4 linked regions of the Caenorhabditis elegans genome follow. The protein of the gene in region 1 interacts with the protein of each later gene in a pairwise test. Each region holds a gene or a part of one and is shown in the gene's direction. Other genes may lie near its edges. The genes, in order: lgg-2, C06E1.1, Y105C5B.19 and ZK1055.7.

Region 1 (3,876 bases):
GAAATCATCGGAATGAGTTCGTCTTCGAACTGACATCACATTATTTAAAACTATCTGCAAAAAAACAAATTTTCCAGAACTTATTCATGCATTTGAAGCGAAAACAAGAAAAAAGATCTGCAAATTAATTTTGAGCATGATTCCACCTTTCGCTTCGAGACCAGAGTAAAAAAACGTTAATGCGCCTTTGAGTTACGGTAGTACTGATTAATGGTTTGAACACCAAATGCATTTTTTTTCGATTTTGGCATGTTTTCCTTCTTTTTTTTCAAGTTATATCCGAAAAACCTAATTTAAAAAACTGAATAATCTTTTATCTAAATATTAACCATATAAATATCGACATTCCACTCGATTTCACAAGAAATTTCTTCATCTTTGAAGTTCGTACGCGGAAAATGCTATTAAAGAAAAGAAAATAAACGAGACGCAGACAAATGCACACGGCGTGCGCAGTAACATATCGATTTTGAGACGTAAACATAATTGAGTTCACTAGTCATGAGAGTCTGTTTACTCGTACATCGATTTTTCACTTTTCTTTCTTTCCCCTCATCACTTATTGTTTTGCTCTTTCCATAGTTTCGTCCTCATCTCAAAACTTCTTTCGAAATTATTTAGATACCCGCATTTTCAACAACGGAAAATCTAAGGAAACCCTTAAAATGTCAAAAAAATATCGCAGATTGCCAATTTTTGCTGTGAAATCTTGATCATATTTCATCACTTCTCCCTTTTTCGAAAATCGCGTCAAAGATCTAAAGTTCCGAGAAAAAAGTTTGCAGAAAAAAACGTCAGTTGTTCTGATTGGGAGTAGTAGATTCAGACTGGAAGTTCTAGAGATCATCTGGTTCCCCTGCCCTTTATCTCTCCCTGCCACTATTTTCAAAGTACAAGCACTTTTTTTACGTAGACCGATATAAAAGAGTTGGCTGGTATAGATAAAATCTTTAGTTTTCCGTTAATTTAAACGGCCCATTTTAATATTAGAAATTTTCATTCATAAAACCAAGCATTTTCACACTAGAACATTAGTTGAGAAGTTTTCTAGGAAGTATTCAATTAAAACGTTTTCTCCTATAACTTTCTTAGTGTCGCCAACAAGTCTCGCTGTCATATTTATTTAATTCGTTGCCACTCATCGTTTCAAATTTCGCTATCATTTCATCTGTCTGACACTGCTTCGAACTTCTGTATTAGCTGGGAGAAGGGTCATAATACACACTCTCATCTTCTCTAACTCTATTCTTTCTTTTCCCCATCTATTCCTTCATCACATGATTCTTCTCTTCTCATCGTCTCTCCGTCTCGCGGTCATGTGTCCTCGACGCTCAGTCGATCTTGTGGTGTGAGAAAAGAGAGTAGCATCAATGAAGAGACACAGAGGACAAAGAGACATACAGCAAAAGAGCGTGTGTGCTGCCTACTGCCTCTGTCTCGATTTTTCCCTCTGTCCCATTCCCTTTCACCTGTCTTTTCGCTTCTTGATAAAAAAATTCTCACAAAAACATACAGTGTCCTTTAGCATCTCACACTCTAATTTCTCTTCTAAAATCAGTTTTCTCAACTTTTCAAATACCAGTTACCATTTTTCAAGTTTGCAGATCGAAAATCGGGTCTCAGCACGAAAAAGTGAAGAAGCGTTTATGCTAGCCACGCTTCAAAGTTACACACAAACAGCGATGAGCGGAAATCGGGGAGGATCTTACATTTCCGGAATCGTTCCATCGTTCAAGGAAAGAAGGCCATTCCGTAAGTTTTTTAAAATTCATTTACTAATCAAACAATTGTCATCAAAATAAAAATAGAGCTTCAAGTCTCACTTTAATTTTACTTTAACATCAAACATCTGGTTTTCATCCCAACCAATTCATTCCCAATCATTCCCACTTTTTTTTCCTTCACCCGTCCATTGTAAAAGGTCAGAGACGCAGAGGACAGACACCCCGCGTCATGCGTTTCAGCGAGAGAGCATGAGGAAACAAGAGACAATATGCAAGTGAGACATGTGAAAATCAGCTGATCTTGTGTGAATGAGTGACTATGTCAGTGGAGCAGCACCCATGGAACATTGCGTATTAATTGGGTGCTCTTCGTTGTATGAAAGAAAGAGATAGATGGACCTGAGAAACAAAGATCAATAGGGCAGGTGCAAGGGAAATAGGATTATAGGAAAATTTGGATCAATATTGATATTCTAGAGTTCAAAATATTGCCCACCATTCAAGATAACAACCAAAACTGAACGTACGCCAATCTTTAAATAGAAATATGAATTTTACGAGTGGAAAAGAGAAATCCAGAACTGAGGAACAACTTTTTTATTTTCAAATTTTCGAAAGAAAACCTTTTTAACCTATTCGATTTCAGATGAGCGTCAGAAAGATGTGGAAGAAATCCGCAGCCAACAACCGAACAAGGTTCCGGTAATTATCGAAAGATTTGATGGAGAACGCAGTTTACCACTTATGGATCGCTGCAAATTCCTAGTACCCGAGCATATAACCGTTGCCGAGCTCATGTCAATTGTTAGACGACGGTGAGCTATTCAACTGAGTTGTTTTTTCAAAATCATCCGTTTGCTTTTCAGCCTCCAACTTCATCCACAACAAGCATTCTTCCTGCTCGTCAATGAACGCTCAATGGTGTCAAATTCTATGAGCATGTCCAATTTGTACAGTCAAGAGCGTGATCCAGATGGCTTTGTGTATATGGTTTACACGTCTCAACCAGCATTTGGATAACACATCAAGAGCCGTTTTCCATCACAATTCTAATCAATTTTTAAATTTCCACCAACACCACTGATTGCCCAATGCAATCCTCACTGTAAAATGTTGTATTTTTAAATGTAAATACCTGAAAACCCATCATACTCAGGCGCCAACCATTTTTCTAGTTGCCTTTGCTAATTTCGCCCCTCGCAATTCCCCACCTCAAAACTTCCAGCTGAAATTTGTTTTACAAACGAAAAAAAAGAAACCCAAATTCGCTTACGTTTTCGTGTAGTCTTTATGTGTTCCCTCATAACTCTTTCTCCGCATTTTCCAGCCCGTTTCTTGAATTTCTTCATGTCTTCTTTTCACAACTGATCCTCTTTCAACAAAATTTAAACCGTTTACGATTCTGTGTACTTGGCTAGTCTCTAAAGCCCATAGGGACTATTTTCCTTACTGCCCTGAACATTGAAATTTACCGCTATGGACTTTCTGACTGCCTAGACGGATTCAATTCAAAATTATTACATCTTGTTCCATCGTTACTTTTCCAAATTCAATGTATCAAATGTTTTGTATGTAATAACAACTTTTTCGTCGTTTTTATCTGGAGAATGTTCATTCACAAGGAGATCACATACATATATAATAATAATAAGAGATGATGATGATATCAACGATTATTCTTCTTCCTGGGTTGCGAATGGATTGGCGATTTGCTCGAGTCCATCTGCTGGGCTAACTACTGTAATTGCTGTTCCGCGAGCCACAATAAGACCCAGTTGTCTTAAGATAAAAGATAAGATAAAATCGAAAATCTAGATTTAATTTGAAATCCAAGCTTTAAATCGATTTTTGGAAATCTATCAATTACCTTGTCTCATCACCGACGACCGAAGGATTTTGTGGATCACGGAGATACTCGCGGCAGTCATCAAGAACCATATTGAGCAACTGATCGAATCCTCGAAGCACGCCACTTGCTGAAATTTATACATTTTTATGGAGTGAAGTACAGCTTGTGTATGTTGGACGCTTTCATATTGTTTAAATAGTTTAATGACGGAATCTTATTGCTAGTGCACATCATTGTGCAAAAAAAAAACCAACCTTCACGTCCTCCTTGGAACTTGACGCGAATCTCTTTGTCGAGAAATCT
Region 2 (3,218 bases), on another chromosome or scaffold:
TCAAAACTAGAATGCAATTTTACGAACTCTCGTTTTTTTTCTGTAGCTCACTAAGCAATTTGGAGAAAACTCGTGGGAAAATTCCATAAAAATCACCAGAAATTTTGTAGCGAAAACGTATGTATATTGATGTTGGTTTGGAGGTAATACGTCGGGATTTTGACAGAATATTGTATTTGAAAAACGGGCAAATAAACGGGATTTGATCTGAATTCATTTGACTATAAACTCCAAATCTCAAAAAACGGATGACACAATTGGATACGTCACATAATTGTGATCATGCAAAAGGGAATGATTTTGGGGTTATAGATAGTTTTATTGAAATATTAGCTTTGTAGATAATTAACATGTGAAATTTGATTCAAAATTCTACAAAAGATTACTGTAGATTGAAGAATCGAATTTTCGAGTTATTTCCAGGATTCATATTGTCCCCCTGTGATTTGTGCCCCTGTAATTGCAGTATGTTTATCAAATGATTCTGTTCGCTATAGATATTGTAATTTTTCGCTGTTCACCAATCTAACCAACTATTTAAAAAATTCAGACACCATCTTCCTTGGTGTTAAATTTCTAATGGAGAAGGCAATTCCAACCGAGATATCAGCTGTTTGAGTTTTGTGCAAGCATGGTGCATAGACAAGAAAGAATGGTATAAATTTGGCAACTGAAATGCCGGTTCAATTTAAAAATTTCAGTAAATTTCAAACTGCTATTTCATAGAACTGAAATGCCGGTTCAATTTAAAAATTTCAGTAAATTTCAAACTGCTATTTCATAGAAAAAAGCATAAATCGTTTGAAATAGTTTGATAGTTGACAATTTTTGAGAAAACTTTTTTTTTTTAATAAAGATGGTCAATATATCAGTTGTCAAAGTTGAGAGAAACATGGTGCATCGACAAGAATGCAACAAACAAACTCTGGAAGCGTTTATTTCAGTTCACTACATAGTTTTTATGAAACTTTTTTGAGTAACATATTTTGAAAAACATGTCTTCTTTTTAATATAATGTTTTGTCAGAACTGGAATATTCCAGTGTTCTTCTCTTTTTTGCACATCTTTCAGGCATTCCAAGTAGGTACAAAGACAGACCTATGCCGGAGCTATTTGGTAGGCAGTGACGTAGACAAGCGGTCTCTCTCTTCGTTCGTATCGATACCAATCGATACGGTCCCTCTATAATCCGTCTGTGCATCATTTGCTCTATATAATTGAGTGAGATAGTACTGTAGATTAAGAGAGTGCAGTGCTCAGGTGAAAACGTTCCATCTGCTCCTCTCTTGTATGTTGCAAATGGCAGAAATATGCTCATTTCTTTGTTTTGTTGTTCGTCTTTGCGAGCTAGAACCGATATATTTCTGGAAACATTTATACATTTACATTTGGAAAATAAGTTTAATTTTTGAAAGTTTCCATTAAAGCTTATCGGCTTTATGATAAAATCTCAACTTATCGAAAACTAATTGTATGACTCATACGATATCTAAAACAAATAGAAAACGAGAGTCTTTGCTGTCCTACCACCCAGCAAACTTTCCATCAAAATAACGAAAACTGACCATGACTTTTTTGAAGAAAAAAAGTAATCGGTTTTTAAATAGTTTCGCAATTTCTCACCGACTAATCATTATTGCATGCATAATTTTATAAAAAGCCACGATTTGCAATTGATTCTCATCTTTGCCGTCTTTTGTTCCTCACTTTTCCATCCCTTTTTATTATTTTATCGTTCGTTTTGTTTTTCGCCTCGCTTTATGTGACTTTAATATTTTCACATTTCATCGTTTCCTCTCTTTTTAACTTCCTTCTTGATATTTGATCAGTCTTTTCTTATTATGTAATCTTCGAAAATGTTGAATAGTTCGGTAGAGCGCGACTTCCCACATTACATAATTTCCAGATATTCAAAAATGGCGACAATTATTGCAAAAATCGAGTCAAAAATCAACGAGTATTTGAAAGCAAGAAACAAGGAAGACTGGAAAGAAAAGACTTTCACTCAAGCTGAAAAGTTTTCTGGAATTCCAAGAGAAAGAGTAGGTTATATAATGTCTTAATTAAAAACAATATTTGTTTTCAGATCGTCTCAATGGCATTCCTGATGCTTTCCATCTACGTTCTTCTCGGCAACTTCCTCCCACTCTTCTCTCATATCATTTGCATCTTCTGGCCAGTCAAAGAGAGCTTCATGGTAAATTTCAACTATCTTCATTTTCATTAGAAATCAACTGAACACTCTTACAGATCCTCCGCCAACAGAAGAATCCATCAGACAACATTCTCCTCTATTGGATTCTCTATGCAATGGTTTCACTTTTTGACTATTCTGCTCTTCCTGGAGTCCCATTCTATTACTTCGCTAAAACCGGGCTCTTCCTCTCGATCACCACAAATGGCTTCGATAAACTCAAGGAATGGTCTGAGCCAGCTCTGAAATTCACCGAAACATGGGTTCTGGTGACTCCACCGCCGCCTGGAGAGGAGGAAAACTGAGCTCTCTGAATTTATGGAAATTTACGGAACTGACACTTTGACACGCACGGGATTTTTTTTTGAACATGTTTTTTTTTAAACTGATATAATTTATTTATCACCCAGCCAAATTTACACCGAATTGTATTGCTATCACAAGTGTAAAGAAATCATTGGTTTGTAAATCGAATTCTCAATAAACTCCTCGTTTCTTTCTATCAGCTCCACGTTGCTTGATATCCGACTTGTGTTTCTCTTTCATTTGACGATCATGTCCTCCAGTATATCCATCTGCAGATGGGGCTCCACCACGATTGCCACCTCGGGCTCCACGACCTCCACGTCCACCACGGGATCCTTGATATGGAGGTGGTTGAGATAAACCAGGTGGTGCAGAAGATCCAGCTTCATCCTCTTCTGACGATGTTTCTAGTTCTTGGCTGAAATTAATATTCTCATGATTTTAATTTAAAAGTTGCAGTGCAATATGAATTTAAATCTGACCAAAAACTAACTTTAATCTTTCAATATTGAATTCTCTTCCATCAAACTCATCATCGTATTCATCATCATAAACTCCATTTCCTCCATCATTCGGGGTCTCGTAACGATACTTATTATATGTTGGCCGAATTGCCACTTTATCTGCTTCACTGATTTTTAAGGAGTTCAATGCCGAATACTTTTTCGAAGTCGCAAGAGGAACAAGATTCTCAGCATCAACAGCAATTTTTTCAGAA
Region 3 (4,533 bases), 5.0 Mb from region 1:
AATTAAATTACTGTCATATCATTAAATTACTATTGAATAAGTAAACTTTTCTTGAAATCTTATTTCTTACTTGAAACAGTAATTTCAATTCTCGAAACGTAAAAAATTATATGATTTTTCCGTTTTTCCTTCATTTAAAATGATTTTACACCAAAAACAGTTTCATAAAGTTGTTTAATGTGTTCTAGAAATATCAATTATTTTATAAATTTCAAATCACTTTTTTGAGAAAAGAAATCTGAATTTTGTCAGAGATGTTTCAACTGGTTTTCAAAAGAAAAACTTGAGTAACTATTTTTAGTAGATAGATCCTTCGACCTTTCCAGTCGTTTTAACAGTGAAAAAAAAACCCGATAATCAACACATTATTCCACATTACTTGTGGGGTTTCTCAAGAACGCCTAACGCTAACGAAATATGAGCGCCCGACATCTACCGAGTTTCACTCACCTATATGAGATATAAATCAGTGCAGTAAAAGCTAATTTTCAAATATTTCCAATACACGAACAATAATGAAACTAGTCAGTTTTATAATATTAATTTCTGAAAATTTAAGCAGTTTCACAAATTTTTTTTCTTCGAAATTTCGACAAACTTAAAAGCATTATTGAATGATCAAATTTATCTAGTAATTTTAAGTCTACTTGAAACTGTAATTTCAATTCTCGAAATGCAAAACAAATTATAGGATTTCCGCGTTTTTCTTTCATTAAAAATCATTTATAGGGAATTATCTTTGAAAAAATAAACGTTAACAAATGTTCCCGAAACAACAGATTATCAGTCCAATAATATGTCAAGTTGTTCTTGGAGCTATGATTTGCAGTTGAAAAAGTGAAATTATTTTTATTTTCCCCAGCATTTTAAAAAAGTTACATCAATATTAAATACAAACTTGAAACAGTATTTTCAATTAATTAATTTTTTATTTTAATTTTTCTTTTATGCTTAGTTGTTTAAACAGTAGATGTTTTCTCTAACAGTTAACAGTTTTTTTTTAATATTTGCCATCTCTTTGTTGTGGGGCAAACGCTCGAAAAATTCAAAATTCTAATCAAAACCAATCAATAAACACTAAAAACGCTCCAAACCCCCCTCTCGTAAACCAACGTCCGTTGTCCTGAAACGTTCCTTTTCTCTGCGTCTCTCGTCATTTCTCTTACCACCACCTGCGTCTCTCACACTAATTCGGTCTCTCAACTCGCGGCGGGAGGCATTGCGCGCAAACAATGCTTCCCGTGCGGTGACGTTTTCGATTTTATCGGTTTTTATTTTGTGTTGTTTCTTGTTTCTCGTGAATTTTATATTGTTATTCACTAATTTTGAAAATTCGCGGTTTTTTAATTCAAATCTTTTTTTTAATTTAAAAAAAACGAGTGCTAGTCAGAAAGTCCCATTTTGCTTTGACCTTCAAAAAATGTGGGAGCAGCGACGCAGACATATCATCTGATTTTGCATGGTTTAGAGCGTGCTTACGTCACAATTTTTATGAATAAATATTCCCGCATTTTTCGTAGATCAAACCGAATGTGTGTACCTGACACCACGTCGATTATCACTATTGATTTTTTGAATTTTATTTGAACGCTCAAAATCTAAAAAAAATTCAATTTTCAGATGTCCCGCCGAGCTTCAAAAAGACCTGCTCCGTATCCACTCCTATGCGAACAAAAACCGGAAGATCTTCTAGTTGCTCCAGTCGAACATAAGGTTTACCAGGATTTTGAGCCTAAAAGACCCCGAGAATTTTCCCCCGTGATGGCTCAATCCCTTCCACCAGGAGAAATTGACTTCCAACCGAGCAAAATCATCTTCAATGCTCCGTACAATGAAAACCAAGAATCTAAAATCAAATTAATCAATACTTCGGCTCTTCGTATTGCTTATGGAATCAATACATATATGAAAAGACTCAGAGTTGATACGATGTGCACTCCAAATTGTGGAGTACTCGATCCAAGTGAGGAGATTCTTCTAACAATTTCCTGCGATGCTTTTGCATTCGGACAAGTAGATACCACAAATGACCGTATCACTGTCGAATGGACCAATACGTCTGAAGGATCCACCAAGCAGTTCTGTCGTGATTGGTTGGATGGAGATGGGATGGTTCGTCGTAAGACCCTTCCGATAGAGTACAGCTCATCTCCAATTGCTCAAACATCTTCGGCACCCCTTCTTCAGGCCTCTAAGCATGGGATGTGGTTGCCGATTGGATTCGCTGCTTCCGAATTGTACGATTATGCGAAAGGGGAACCATTGGATCGGAAGACTTGTGAGGTAGGTTTTGAGGGGATTATTTCTAGAGCAACTCGTATAGTGTCGGGCGCTGAAGTTCAGACGATTGAAATCTGATAGCAGCCAACATTGCACGGGCCTAGTTAGAATAACGAGTTTGCATGGCGAGACTTGTGAAATGTCGGTTTGCTTGTAGAAACAAAATCTCACCGCGAACTCCTCTAAAACTGCTTTTGCTAGCAGCCGACATTAAAACGAACGAACGGAAGCAGAAGTCGGTGCTTTACAGTATTGTTAAAGAAACTCGCAAAGTGTCGGGAGCTGAAATCCAAGTGCTTGAAATTTGATAGCAGCCGACACCACAATGGCCCAGTTAGAACAATATTGAATGTTGAGACTCGTGAAATGTCGGCTTGTTTATAGGAACAAAATATTACCCGTGGACTCTTTTAAAACTGCTGTTGCTAGCAGCCGACATTTTACGGGCCCACCACGGAATTTGCAGTCTAACTCGTAAGATGTCAGTTGCTTACAGTACATCATTGTAGTCAAGACCTTAGCCCTGCCAAATAAATCTTCAAATTTTTCAGAAAAACCTGGAGAAACTCATCAAAAATGACCGTGATGTTGACTACTACGAATGGCTCAATTTCGCCAAGCGGTGTCGAACACAAAATCAGAATTTGATGGAGGAAATGGCACTTGGAATGGCTTTCACTACGGCGATGGTGAGCAATTTCCAAAAGTTTCGAAAATTAAAAAAAATTCGCTTTCAGGCAAACAAGCAGCACAGGAAGATTTCTCGAAAAGCGGAGAAAATCACGGAACCGATCACAACGAACAAGGCATTCTCAATTGACTCAGCCGAGAAGTTTGACAGAGCTTTGACGTTGCCCAGCAGGAAATGGTTCATGATTTCCGATGTTGTGACGGATGGAGATGTGTCGAATTGGTCGACGGCTAACTTGGTGACTCTTGTGAGAGCTCTGGCGAGAACGGTTTTCGATAAGGTATGCTTAGTGGAGTCTTGCGTAGACTTTATAGAATCTTGCGTAAACTCCAAAAATTTAAGGTTGCCATTGCGGACCCCCATATGATGTGCTACGCAACTTCACAAAACGCTTCTACATATATTCCCATCGCTAGGGACTTTTTCGAAGGGTTTGCTGGTTAGTTTTCCACACGTTTCACCAAAAATTTATAAATTCTTTGAAACAGTAGGAAATTTAATATTAAAAAAACCATGTTCCTCTTCCAGAGTACATACTCGGTGGGTTCGGCGAAGAACAATCGCGAGACCTGAAGTTTCGAGTGAGGAAGCTGGTCACCGACGTTATGGGCAATAAGTTGTGAGTTTTACTGTCTCAGGGCTCAGTACTAAATTTATTTTTCAGAGACCGTGTGAGAGGCCGCCACAACAAAATGTATGGAAACGAAGCAAGTGAAGATGCCACAAGATGGCTCCGAGAGCAACTCCGCAAGGAGGATGGAGAGCTCAAAGAGTTTGTGATTTCATTGAGTTTTATAAAAATCGATAATTTTTTTCAGATCCCGACTAATTTTCCCAAATGGCTCAGAAATGATGTGTAACTATCAGGTAAACGAAGAAAACCCAGAAGGAAGTATAAAATCAGAAATTTTCAATGACGAAGAGGAAGTGGAAATGGAATAATTTGTTTTTGAAATTGTTATATTTTGTTGACTTTTCTATTAACTTATGTATTTCAATTCTGAAAAAAAAACATTTCAGCTGTCTATATAAAAGTTTTTCCAGCGCTCCTCTCATAGTTCTCAAGGTTTCAATAATTTGAAAATTTCAAATTTTTACTGTTTCAATGTGTTGTGAAACATGAGCTAAAATTAAAATGAAATGTTAGTCCCATAGTAAAAAGTTTTTGTTGTGAAATTGCAGTCCCGTGCAATTTTTGGCTCTGTTCGAGATTTTCTACTATATTTCCAGCCACAATTTGTAGAGTCGCATATTACTTAAATATAAATTAAAAAGAATCAATAATAACTGTTTAAAAAATAGTTTTGGGTCAACAGTGAAAATTTTACTGCGCAGAAAACTGTTGCTCACTTCAAATTTGAGCACAAAATCTATAAAAATTGTTTCATGGTGTTCATTTATTGGAACTGTTAGCATCAACATGAATTAAATTTATTGATCTCAGAGATCATCGGCTCAGATGATGTTCAACTCCAACTTTAAAAAGATTTCAGTGCCCTTAAGTACTTTAGCATTTTTTATAGCTCTTTTCACTTTTATAGTTGGAAAAAAAGTTTGAACAT
Region 4 (4,742 bases), on another chromosome or scaffold:
TTCAACTTTTCAGAGTCTCCTTCAACTTAAACACTCCTCTGACTGCATCGAAAAAGATGTATTTCATTCGTACAAAAACTGGTGTTACCCATCAGCTACATCAACCTCCACAATAATCCCAGCTCATACATCTGTACCTCAATTCACTTTAGTTATTTGTCACTAGTTGGTATTTTCATTGTTTTGTTTTTGTTATGCTACTTGTTTCGATATATCCGCATGTTGTTTCAAATTGACTATGCTAACGTTTTCTTTTCTCATCGACCAGTTTACTTCCCTGTTCTGTTTAATAGTTCTCAATCATGTTATTTTTCTCAATTTTTCTGAAGAGTATCTTATCATTTCTTTTTTTCTGTATTCCCAACTCACCTTGACATTTCTGAATTGTTGACCCAGCAAGAAACTTTGCATACCCTCTGACTGGTATTTCATATTTTTGGGAGAAAAAAAACGTTTCGAAAATTTGTGAATTATTATGTGAAAAAAAAAAAAAAAAAATTATCCTATCGCGTTTTCCTTTCTGCATCTAAGTCTCCAATGAGTCAGCACAAACACATTGCGAAACATTTTCTGTCTCTTTGGTATAAATAGAGAGTTTCCTCTCTTTGAAATGATTTGAAGGTTTTACTGATATCAACGTTATGAAATTTAGTCATCTCGTCGCGTTTCTTTTCGAAAAGTTTTGAATATTCAACTTTACGTTTTTTAGTTTTGGAAATTTCAGTGTGTTATTTCAGTTTATATAATGTTTCTGAATTTATTACAACACAAAATTATGAAAATGCGTAATGCGCTATCTGACTATCTGACGCGCAAAATATCTCGTAGCGAAGGCTACAGTAACTCTTTAAATAACTACAGTAGCTGTGGTGTCGGTTTACGGGCTCGACTTTTGAAACGTATTTATTCTCGAATAGTGATAAATAGCGATACTCTATTTTTCTTCGTTTCTTCGTATTATTTTCTCATTTTTGCTTAATATGATAAATTATATCTACATGATAAGTCAAAATGATCCCGTAAATCGACACAGGCGCTACAGTAGTCCTTTAAAGAATTACTGTAGTTTTCACTACGAGATATATTGCGCGTCAAATATGACATTAATAATATTTACAAAATACAGATGTTTTTTAAAAATATCTTTGTCTTTAGACAACTACTGCTATAATCTCTCATGCGTATATCGTATATTCGTTGAAATTTTAAAATTCAGTTTAAAGGCGCACACTATTTTTCTGTGTAGGTCTCGCCACGATCTCAGCTATAGTGATCGCTACAAGCTTCAAATTTCATGCATTGGTTCATTTAATGTAGAAATGTACGACCAGTTAGAAAAATACCAAACCAATATGTTGAATAAATTAACTTCAAGCCAGATTTTCTACAGTAAACATTAAGATTGTATCACCGTCCGTAAATCTATATATTCTTAGAAATGCAGCGATATTAATGATTAACAACAATTCGTGATATATACTTTCGTTATTTTAGAATTCCTAATATTTGAAAATACACACCTCTTAAAAAGAGTCATTTTCAGAAATGACCACCAACCCATCTGTCCACGAGTTCGAGACTCGTGATCTTAAAATTGCCGAGGTGAAAGTATTCACTGATAGAGCTGAAATCCGTCGTCTTGTCAAAGTTTCATTGAAATCTGGTGTCAATGAAGTTGTTCTCAAGGTTTGTAGAATATGAACAAGTTTTTCAAGTAGTTTTGAATTTAGAACCTCTGCAAAACAATGGCTCAAGGATCAATTAGAGTTGAAGGAAGAGGAAATGCAATCATTCATGATGTAGTTATTAAGAATGTTTCTCGTTTGCCAACTGAAGCTGATCCTCCAAAGGTTGGCAAGATAATTAAAATTCGAAAATATATTCTTTTTTTTAAGATCACCAATCTCAAAGCTGCCATTCTAGAGGAGAAAAATCGCCTCCAAAAAATCACAGATCGCGGAACGGTTGTCCAAAAATGCGTTGACAATTTGGACAAAGTTTTCGAACAAGTTGGTGGGGGTCTCGTGAATCCACCAAAAGATGGTGTTGCTTCTTTAAATGAAGGAACTTTGGAAAGTCTTACAAATTTCTTCCAATTCTATGGGAGCAACTCCGAATTATACAGAGAAAGTGAGTTTAAACGATAAATTTGAGATTTTAAAAAACTTAATTTTTTTTTCTAGAACTACGATCAGTTGAAGCTGGACACCGTGAGCAACAGGAAAAAGTTTCGAAACTGGAAAACGAGTTACGAGCTCTAATGCACAATTTGAATGAAGAAGCGTTCTCTCAGTGAGTTTTTGAAAAGTTTAAGGTGGAATTGTGCCAGTCGGGGAATTTACCAAAATATACTAAAAATGGGGCAAAAACAACTTTATATGTCTTTTCAAATCTTTCTTAATCTTAACTCAAACTTTTGGCAACATACCAAATTTTGAATCATTTAAAAAATTTGAAAAACTATCAAAAAACCCATAAAAATTTGAGGCGCACAATGAGCTATGCTTTGCTTTCTATGCACTATTTATTTTCAAATACAAATGGGATTACAGATAGATTTGAAGATATGCAAAAAAGCATCCAACCCTAATAAAAATTCGAAATATTATAAAGAAAAGTTCCATATGATTTTCCATCTATTTCTAGAAACAATTTATTTTTTGAGTCTTATTGTTTGACATTGTTAAGCTGTAGTATTTAAGATCACTGTTTGCCTATCTTCCCAACAAATTGATAACTTAATTTTAGCACTGCCACAATTACTTTGGAATGCACAGAAGACCTGGAAGCTGAGCTGAATGTAGTCTATCAAGTGTTAGATGCTTCGTGGCATCCATCATACGATATCCGAGTTGACACAGAGAAACCATCCATGAGCATTACATACTTTGGAAAAATCCGTCAATTCACAAAGGAAGATTGGACTTCTGCACCACTTGTTTTGTCAACTGCTCAGCCATGTCTTGCTGGCAGAATTCCAGATCTTGGAACTCTCGAAGCAACCTTCCGTCGTCCTGAAGTTCAACATTATCAAACAAGATCGATGAATGCATCAGCCTCATTATTTGGGGCGCGGGGACCGCAGAACCGTCGAGCCGAAACACTCGGATTTTCAGATGAAGTGACTTTGGCTCCACCAATGGCTGTCGCTGTTGCTTCAGAAATCACCCAAAACACGTTGAGCACAGAATTTAAAATTCTCAGAGAAGCAACAATTCCACACGGTACTGATGAACACAAAGTTACTATTGGAGTTGTGACTCTTACACCAAAACTTGTTCATGAATCCGTTCCAAGTAAGAATGCTGCAGCTTTTCTCACGGCTTCTGCTGTTAATACTTCTCAACTTGCACTCCTGGCTGGATTTTCATCTGTCTATCTGAATAATGCATTTGTCGCAACAGTAAGATTTTTTTGTTGAGAAAATTGATTTAAAACAAATTAAGTTGCTGAAATAACCAAATTTTAATAGTAAGAATTCTTCTATCGATTCAATCTTGTTTCACTCTGAACATACAAGAATGATCTGAATCTTTCAACAAAAAAAAAGAAAATTTCAAAACTTGGAAATTTGTCAAAACTCAACTAGAAGTCATTAAACCTCTAAAACATTGTATAATGAATGATATATGAAAATATTTAGTCTCATTGAATCAGTTTGAGTATATTTTAATAAAATCCAACTTTTAGAGTCACCTGAAAAACGTGTCACCAGGTGAAAGACTCACTTGCTCTTTGGGAGTTGACACGGCAATTCGTGTGGAGTACAAGCCGGCAAAGAAGTACCATGAGGAAGGAGGTTACATCACCAAGCACTCTGCAAATGTCACGGAGCAAACAATCTCCATCAAAAATACGAGAAATGAGCAGCCGGTGCTCCTAACCGTGAAGCATGCGATTCCACGTAGCACTGACGAGAAGATCCGTGTGAAGCTAGTTTCACCAGCAGCTACGCCATATGATGCGGAGAAGGCTGGCACTGAAGCCGAGAATTCTGAGCCTGTGGAAGGGGCAAAGTTCAATTCCAGCAATCACTTGGAGTGGACTATAAAGCTGGCTCCGAGCAGCTCAAAGGATCTGATCATCAAATATGTGGTGGAGCATCCAAAAGATGAAACTGTTCAATATCAAGAGAATTTCTAAAGTACATCCAACAGTGAATTGATACTTAAATGAAGTCGTCTATCTTTTACAGAAATTTTTGTTTTACAATTTTCCCATTTCCGTTTTATCGGTTTTCATTTTTTTAATGTTTTTTTTGCACTTTCTTCACCTCTAGTTATAATATGCCCATCGAATAATCTACGCTTATAGATGGCATCAATTTACGAACTTGACATTCGAAATCAGGAAATCAGTGGAATTACAATTCTCAGTGACCGAGCTGAAGTGAAACGACGGGTACCAGTTAATTTGAAAGCGGGAGTTAGTGAGATTTGTTTAAAAGTGAGTTTCTTTTTTTGAAAATCATTTTATTGAAATTCCAACACTTTAAATCTCAACTTTTGAATAATTTACATACAAAGACTAATATAAAACTCATTTTGTGTAGATTATCTTTCTGAAAAAGTTGTATATAAAAAATTATAGTAAAAATGAGCCAAATAAAATAAATATTAAAAAGAACATTTAAACATTATTTTGAAATTGTTTTTGAAACCTTTTGAAATGCTGGTAATTTGCAAAAATTTTGACTTTTTGGTGTATCAAAATGGTTACGCGGAGAACTAATAATAGTTTTG

Evidence for each region.
Region 2: the proteins of lgg-2 (region 1) and C06E1.1 interact in a two-hybrid assay, tested with the Caenorhabditis elegans proteins (one large-scale study listed by BioGRID).
Region 3: the proteins of lgg-2 (region 1) and Y105C5B.19 interact in a two-hybrid assay, tested with the Caenorhabditis elegans proteins (one large-scale study listed by BioGRID).
Region 4: the proteins of lgg-2 (region 1) and ZK1055.7 interact in a two-hybrid assay, tested with the Caenorhabditis elegans proteins (one large-scale study listed by BioGRID).

Annotation. Positions count from the first base shown.
Region 1 is NC_003282.8:10,933,632-10,937,507, reverse strand, and holds lgg-2 (Protein lgg-2), read left to right. Parts: upstream 1-1,604; 5' UTR 1,605-1,646; coding exon 1,647-1,752; intron 1,753-2,370; coding exon 2,371-2,539; intron 2,540-2,590; coding exon 2,591-2,744; 3' UTR 2,745-3,312; downstream 3,313-3,876. Other genes in the region: Protein adenylyltransferase fic-1, read right to left, coding at 1-36; lsm-7 (U6 snRNA-associated Sm-like protein LSm7), read right to left, coding at 3,398-3,503, 3,592-3,700, 3,828-3,876. UniProt on the Caenorhabditis elegans protein: Ubiquitin-like modifier involved in the formation of autophagosomal vacuoles (autophagosomes). When lipidated mediates tethering between adjacent membranes and stimulates membrane fusion. Less effective at promoting membrane fusion than lgg-1.
Region 2 is NC_003281.10:8,603,928-8,607,145, forward strand, and holds C06E1.1 (HVA22/TB2/DP1 family protein), read left to right. Parts: upstream 1-1,904; 5' UTR 1,905-1,916; coding exon 1,917-2,042; intron 2,043-2,086; coding exon 2,087-2,197; intron 2,198-2,250; coding exon 2,251-2,499; 3' UTR 2,500-2,671; downstream 2,672-3,218. Other genes in the region: C06E1.9 (ASCC2 family CUE domain-containing protein), read right to left, coding at 2,672-2,918, 2,994-3,218.
Region 3 is NC_003282.8:15,981,058-15,985,590, reverse strand, and holds Y105C5B.19 (Major sperm protein), read left to right. Parts: upstream 1-1,620; coding exon 1,621-2,283; intron 2,284-2,831; coding exon 2,832-2,969; intron 2,970-3,017; coding exon 3,018-3,251; intron 3,252-3,313; coding exon 3,314-3,410; exon of another isoform or gene 3,411-3,414; intron 3,415-3,499; coding exon 3,500-3,590; intron 3,591-3,635; coding exon 3,636-3,743; intron 3,744-3,789; coding exon 3,790-3,913; 3' UTR 3,914-4,016; downstream 4,017-4,533.
Region 4 is NC_003283.11:6,602,177-6,606,918, reverse strand, and holds ZK1055.7 (Protein F37C4.5), read left to right. Parts: upstream 1-1,543; 5' UTR 1,544-1,545; coding exon 1,546-1,686; intron 1,687-1,730; coding exon 1,731-1,850; intron 1,851-1,895; coding exon 1,896-2,130; intron 2,131-2,183; coding exon 2,184-2,292; intron 2,293-2,748; coding exon 2,749-3,403; intron 3,404-3,690; coding exon 3,691-4,143; 3' UTR 4,144-4,183; downstream 4,184-4,742. Other genes in the region: gon-14 (HAT C-terminal dimerization domain-containing protein), read left to right, coding at 14-116; ZK1055.6 (Protein F37C4.5), read left to right, coding at 4,315-4,446.